2 linked regions of the Mus musculus genome follow. The protein of the gene in region 2 interacts with the protein of the main gene of each other region in a pairwise test. Links are inferred from orthologs where the notes say so. Each region holds a gene or a part of one and is shown on either strand. Other genes may lie near its edges.

The links.
Region 1: the proteins of Bmx (region 2) and Ptpn21 interact in binary tests that used the Homo sapiens proteins (3 or more experiments, as listed by UniProt). The link is inferred for Mus musculus from reciprocal best matches to the Homo sapiens genes BMX and PTPN21.

What each region holds. Positions count from the first base shown.
Region 1 is NC_000078.6:98,688,752-98,692,568, forward strand, and holds part of Ptpn21 (tyrosine-protein phosphatase non-receptor type 21), read right to left. Parts: intron 878-3,817; coding exon 1-877.
Region 2 is NC_000086.7:164,202,430-164,206,246, forward strand, and holds part of Bmx (cytoplasmic tyrosine-protein kinase BMX), read right to left. Parts: intron 2,956-3,817; coding exon 2,739-2,955; intron 826-2,738; coding exon 761-825; intron 1-760. UniProt on the Homo sapiens protein: Non-receptor tyrosine kinase that plays central but diverse modulatory roles in various signaling processes involved in the regulation of actin reorganization, cell migration, cell proliferation and survival, cell adhesion, and apoptosis.

The sequences.
Region 1 (3,817 bases), on a different chromosome or scaffold from region 2:
AGCCTCAGGCCTTCGAATCCATGTGTGAGCCCTGCGATTTCAATACTGTTCCTCTTCTGTAGGTGGGCATGGCGCGCTGCTGTGAGGGGCTCGCTGACCTCCTGCAGAGAGTGAGCCACGGGCAAGCTGTCCTCCTGGAAGGTCTGCACTGAGTGATGGACGCGCCTGGTGATGAGATCCGGATTGCTGCTGCTGATGTAGAGGTGGCGGGACAGGTCTGGGGTGCTGTTGGCAGGTCTTGGGTAAGGATACGGCGGGGGTGGGCGGTACACCTGGGTTCTCATAATGTTTGGAGCTGGGTAGTCCTGAGCCTGCAGCTGCACATTTGTCAGTTCAGGCACACTCACGGCGCCCACCACTGGCCGCCTCTCGGCAGGGTAGGGATACGGAGACTGGCTGTGGAAACTGTAGTTCAGGTTAAAGGGGTAGTGGGCTGACTGGGGAGAGGTGAGGTGAGGGTGCTCCCGAATCTCGGGCTGGCTGTAGACCAAGGCGTCGGGCCGGCTGTACGCATAGGAACTGCCAATGTTGAGGTTCCTCAGCGAGTGGCTGTGCCGGTCTGCGTGCACCATGCCTCTGTTGAGCTGCTTCATCACGGTCTCGTAGTCAGGGGTCGGGCGGTAAGACGGGGGAATGAGCGCACTGTGCCGGTGGGACGGGATGTAGTCGGGTCTCATGACATCACTGCCAGTGATACTCGGGTTGGAGGACATGGGGGAGGGCTGCAGGTAGGGCTGAAGTGTGTTTAAGGAATTCGTACTGTGTGCACTGTAGACGCTGCCGTTGCGGATGCGACCACTGAGGTCAATCTGGGTTCTATCCAGGCTTGTCTGGGAGTGACAGTAGAATCCATTCTTGTTGGGCACAAAGATGTTGTCTGAGGAGGAAAAAGGTTTTAGAAGATTCTGAAAATGTATTAAGTGGGACCCATCATTCCAGCCAAATACTGAGATGGCCCTGAGAGAGCTTGTAAATTTTCTTGCTAAAGTGACACATCTTCAGTCACACTGTTACCCCGGGGAGTTTCAGCTTCCTCACCTACAGGATGGGGTAGGTCTGTCTGTCTGCTTAAAGTGAGGTGCTGAGGATCTAGCCAAATCTCAGACCAACATTGTTACAGGCATTCTGGAGCATTGTGGGACTCGGGGAAGAGGTACTTGTTGACAGCAGGGAGCCAGTTTGGGTAGGGGTATAACCCCACGATGCTGAGCTAGGGAAAATAGCAACTCTCTGTAAGCGCTTCCTTAACTGGAGGTTTAGGTTGTTTGCATACGGTCTTCCTCGATGAAAAGAATTCCACCGTAAAAGGGCACCACGGTGTACAGCAGGTACAAAGCTTTCCTGCCCAACACGGGGGTCACTGGTAGTCAGAACCAAAAGTTACCGCCAAAGGCCAGGAAACCAAGAAGAATAAGGCTAAGATAACTATAGTTGCCCCACCAAGCCTGCAGTTGAGCAAGACATGGATCCAGGGCTCCTAACTCTCCGGCAGCAGTATGTCTGTCTGGACTAGAGGCGGCTGTCTTTCTGCCACTCGACCTACAGCTCCCCTGAACTGCTTTCTGAGTACTATTTCCAAAGCTAAACACAAAGTCAGCCGTCAAAGCCCGTGGAAATACTGTGTGCTGCTGAAGCTCCGTGACTACCCACTGGGCACGTTTTGTTCTGCTACACACAGCTCTCAGAGCCTCTTCATTCCTCCTGCCCCACCCTGTGCTTCTCTGTCTGCAGAGCTCTCAGCCATTGCTAGATCTCTAGGTGCCTTTCTGGTCACAGATCCCTCACCCATGTTGCCTAGACCAGTGTGACACCCACGGCAGTGTCCCTGCCTTCATGCTCTCTAAGAGCACACAGAACTGTACCTCTTTATCCCTTAGTGCCGAGCACATACATGAGACGAGTGACAGGAAGGAGAAAGTGAGCAGAGGGTTTTTTGTTTGGTTGGTTTTTTGGTTTTTGGTTTTTCAAGACAGGGTTTCTCTGTGTAGCCTTGGTTGTCCTGGAACTCACTCTGTAGACAGGCTGGCCTCGAACTCAGAAATCCGCCTGCCTCTGCCTCCCAAGTGCTGGGATTAAAGGCGTGAGCCACCACGCCTGGCTTAAGTGAGCAGAGTTAAGAGGCAGTTTCAGAGGACTTCCTCCTCCCATCTCCCAGTGCCATGGCCAACCGAGTGGGTCCTCCACAATGGCAAAGGCTCCTCCAGTCTGAGCCCCCGATCAGGCTAACATGGAACGGAGCCCCACCTGACAGCACACAGCAGACAAGGACTGTGGTCAAGAAGTAAATCCACTGCCTGTGGACTGCGGGGTGGCTGGGGTAAGGGTGTGTGGGTAGCAGATCAGAGGGGCAAAGACAGGCTCTGCTCAAATAGAACAAGCTAGAGAGTAGCAAGCAGTGGGAAGCGGGATGGGGAGGAAGGGTAAGGGAGCGTAGACACAGGCGAGGAATGGTGGAGCACATCACAGATTCAGCGGGGATCTTTGTGTCTGGTGAGTTGAGGAGTGTGAAGACAGAAGATACAGCTCATGGGACGGAGCTGCTAGTGGGAGGTCTGAAAGAAAAAGACCTATGTTGGAGCAGGAGCGGGGGACGTGGAGAAAGGGATATGGAGAACACAGTGTATGATGTCACAGGTTATGGCTGGCTAGCTGACTGGCCAAAATTACATGCAGCTTGGAATCCACATAACCAAGAAAGTGAGTGACTTCATCACAATAAAGGGCCCTGGAAACAAACTTAGAGGTCAAGCAATGAGTTCAAATATAATACTCAATTTCCAGCAAGCCCTGATAGCTGATACCAGTTCTTCAATGCCTGTTTATCGTTAGCTAGAGAGCCTCCATGCAGGGTTCCCACATATGGCCATGGCAAATGGGGAATGGGTAGAACCCAGGAATGACGACAGGGTGGGGAGGGGAAACTGAGTCACCATTATGGAAACTCTATGAGAAGGAGCTGCTGGGGAAGCCCCATCAGGAAAGAAAAAAGCACAGAGCAGGGAGATGATTTATGGAAAGCCCTGAGAGGGAAGCAAGGGCCAGAGCACAGAGACATCCGTCTCAGATGCAGTGTAGGACAAACTGGAAGAGAAAGTCATCCAAACCATAGCTGGAAGAGAAAGGTGAGAAGAAAATGGCAGGACCCTCACAGACTGAGGTAGGAGAATGAGGGTCATGGAGACGGGAGGCAGAAGCCTTGTCCCCATGGTTGGAGAGGCTACCATGCACGTACAGATGGCCACATGCAGAGGAGAGGACAGCAGTGAGACAGCCCCAGGGGACACTGAAATCCACACCAGAGCTCTGCTCCCCGATTGCCTTCCTTGCTGTGGGGAACATCCTCAACTGGCAGAGAAGGCCACAACAACAAGTGCAGCCAACACCAGTTCTTTGTGTCCCTTCAGATCCCAGCCCCCACATGATGGGCAATGGACCCCACTTCTAAACAGCCCCCTCTCCTGTGCCACAGCACTCACCAGCCAGAGCAGCAGACCGAGTCTCAAACCTGCCTGGAACTGATGAAATCCAGCCATCCTGTTAGATCCAGAGAGCTCTTCAAGTGCCCACAACATGACAAACGGCATGCTAATACATGCTCTCTTAGTAAGGTAACTGATCACATCCTGAGCCTTGTTTGTACAATTAGATCCCAAGCCTCTGTATAAAGAACTGCTGCCTGTATCTACCTCTCTGGTCTTCAGTACAGTTAGACACAGTTTACAAACAAACTACACAGATGGTCAGGATTCAGCATGATGCTGTTGCTGGGCACACAACTGCAGTAGCAGGAACTTAAAGCACTACACTAGGACATCTC
Region 2 (3,817 bases):
GAACAAGACCAATGGAATTACTATAAAACAAACCAAAAATGGCTCGCATAGGGAAATTAGTATAGTCAAAACTTATGTGTGGGGGATATAGTTTATGCATGTGTGTGCTCATAGATGTATATGCAGAAGCTGTTGGATGCCTTTCTCAATTACTTTACATCTTCATTTTAAAAGATACTTTATTTTTAATTGTGTATATGTTCAAGGGCCTCTCTCTCTCTCTCTCTCTCTCTCTCTCTCTCTCTCTGTGTGTGTGTGTGTGTGTGTGTGTGTGTGTGTGTGTGTGTGTGTGCTTAAAGAGGCCAGAAGAGGGTGTTGGATCTCCTGGAGCTGGAGTTACAAGAAGTTGTGAGCAACCTGACACAGATGCTGCGAATCCAACTCGAATCCTCTAAAAAAGCAGTCCTTAAGTGCTGAGCAATCTCTCCAGCCTCTCCAAGTTAATCTTTGAACTAGGGTCTCTCACTGAACCTGGAGCTAGCTGATTGGCTAGAATGGCTGGCCCTTCTATCTGCGCCCTACAGTTGCTGGGGTTAGGGGCACACCACAGTGCCTGGATGTAATGTGGGTGCTGGGAATCCAAAACCAAACTCGTGCTTGTTTAGCAAGCACTCTACCAACTGATCCTGTCACCCAGCTTGAAATCAAATTCTTGACTACAATGGATGGAAACACTACAGCTTGCAGTGTGTTAGAAGTGATTGATGTTATTCCTGGGAACACCAGAAAGAAAAGCTGTCTGGGGAGATTTCTGGCTTACCTCGTCATTCCAAAGTCTGAGACTTTCACAGAGAGATCACTGTCCACCAAACAGTTCCGAGCAGCCTTGGGAGGGAAAGCAAAAATCTCCAAGTAGTAAAAGCAACCAAGAACCTCCCAATATCAGACTCAGATATTTTCCTCCCCTCAGCATCAGTCTCAGCAAAATCCAACACAGCCTATCACAATCCTGTTTGTTCTGAACTTAAAAAAAAAAAATCTCTCATAAGTTGGAAGACCAAAGTGTGGATACTTTGCTCCTTCTTAGAATGGGGAACAAAATACCCTTGAAGGAGTTACAGAGACCAAGTTTGGAGCTGAGACAGAAGGAAGGACCATCCAGAGACTGCCCCACACAGTCCATCCCATATACAACCACCAAACCCAGACACTATTGCATATGCCAGCAAGATTTAGCTGACAGGACCCTGATATAGTTGTCTCTTGTGAGGCTATGCCAGTGCCTGGAAAATACAGAAGTGGATGCTCACACTCATCTGTTGGGTGGAACACAGGGCCCGTAATGAAGGAGCTAGAGAAAGTACCCAAGGAGCTAAAGGGTCTACAACCCTATAGGAGGAACAATAATATGAACTAACCAGTACCCCCCCCCCCCCCGCCCCAGAGCTGTGTCTCTAGTTGCATATGAAGCAGAGGATGGCCTAGTCGGCCATCAATGGGAGGAGAGGCCCTTGGTCTTGCGAAGATCATATGCCCCAGTACAGGGGAATGCCAGAAAGTGGGAGTGGGTGGGTTGGGGAGCAGGGCAGGGGGAGGGTATAGGGGGCTTTGGGGATAGCATTTGAAATGTAAATGAAGAAAATATCTAATAAAAAAGAAAATAAAAGTTTCCATTTTTTCCAAAAAACGCATGTTCACCCAAGCATCTGAACTACTTGAAAATATACTTGAACACAGAATCTCAGCTTATAAACATTTGCTGAAAGGACCCTGATATAGCTGTCTCTTGTGAGACTAGGCCAGGGCCTAGCAAACACAGAAGTGGATGCTCACAGTCAGCTATTGGATGGAGCACAGCGCCCCCAATGGAGGAGCTAGAGAAAGTATCCAAGGAGCTAAAGAGATCTGCAACCCTGTAGGTGCAACAACATTATGAACTAACCAGTACCCCGGAGCTCTTGACTCTAGCTGCATATGTATCAAAAGATGGCCTAGTCGGCCATCACTGCAAAGAGAGGCCCATTGGACTTGCAAACTTTATATGCCCCAGTACAGGGGAAGGCCAGGGCCAAAAAGGGGGAGTGGGTGGGTAGGGGAGTGGGGGGGGGAGGGTATGGGGGACTTTTGGGATAGCATTGGAAATGTAATTGAGGAAAATACCTAATAAAAATATTTAAAAAAAAGAAAATATCTAATAAAAAATAATTAAAAAAAAGAAACAAAAAAAAATCTCAGCTTATCAAGGACTTCCACTAGATCCTGTGCATTCCCAGATGCTTGGAAGTCATGCAAGGCTTATGGGATGTATTGGCCTGCTATGAGCAGTGTGCTTGGCCTCAGCAGAAGGAGGTCTCTAAAGCTGAAGACCAGCGAGTACCAAACAATACTCAGAACTCCTGCCCCAACCCAAACACACACTTTCTTTCTGCCCCATCCCCCTCTTTGACTTTTTAGTTACTGTATCAAGTCACTGCTTTCCCAGTAGGCTCTCAGAGTCAACTTCAGTTCAGTGGTTTTGAGAAACACTAAATTTGCCTGAGTCATTCCGTTTGTGCTTCACATCACAGCACGGGTAGCTATGGAGAGCCTCATGACTTATTTTGCTCTGATGGCTCTATACGTCTTTCAAATATTGTATTCTACAATTGTGATATTTTTATTACAAACCCATCACATGCTTACAGGAGTCACAATGTGCAAAGTAAAGTGAAGGCCTCCTCTTTGTCAGACCTCCCAGCAGCCCTGTCCCTGGAGGAGGGAATGGTGGGTTATGTTTTTCTCTCCTCTCATGAGCTTACCAAATCTCGATGTATGAACTGATGGCTCTCCAAGAAGGCCATGCCTTCACAGACATCATAACACATTTCTAAGAGCTGGCAACTTTCTAGTCCTTTCCCATGACTCTTCAGGTAATTAAGCAAGCAACCATTTGTTATATACTCAGTTACTATATAGATGGGGTATTTCTTTGAGCATACTCCGTAGAACTTCACCAGCTTGGGATGGCTGAGTTTCCTGAAAAAGAATCGATTTGACAAGTTCATTTACGAGATGTCCCAAGCAGAAGAAAAAGAGAGGGGGGGAGGGAGAGGGAGAGGGAGAGGGAGAGGGGGAGGGGGAGGGGAGGGGGAGAGGGGAGGGGGAGGGGGAGGGGGAGGGGGAGGGAGAGGGAGAGGGAGAGGGAGAGGGAGAGGGAGAGGGATGTCAGGGAGCTTTGGATCTTGTTTTGGGAAACAATAATGTTTGAAGGCAGGAAAGAAAACAGATCTCAGCCTCAGATCTGAGACTGGTGAATCTCACAGCCACTCAGCAGTGCTCTCAGCCTGGAGATACTGCATTCAGCTTGTCTCCCAAGAATCAGAGTAGTGTTATGTGTAGACAAAATATATTAATTTGAAGGGTGTATGTAACATAAAAATGGTTGCTCTTTGTGGAAGTGAGACTACATATAATCCTTTGTTTATATCTCTTCTTTTGTTCTCTCTCCTTTTGATTTTAAAAAAGTGTTCATTTGTGTGTGTGTGCATGCATGCATGCATGTACACACTTATGAATGTGCACATGCATGTATATTTTTCTGTGGTGCCCAGAGGACAACCTCAGGTGTCATCTTCAGAAAGGCTACCACGCTCCTTTTGGGCAGAGTCTTTCACTTGTCTGAAGCTTGCCCAGCAGCATACACTGACTGAGCAGTGAGCCCCAGGGGTGCTACTGTCTCCACCTCCACAGAGCATGGATTAATTTTACAGATTATTTATAACACACTTTGGTGACAAAATACACTTTAATATTTCACCAGGAGACACCACTATGTCATATACCAAGAAAGTTTTTGTTTTTAATTTTATGTTCTATGAAAGGGGGACACCAAGGGGCT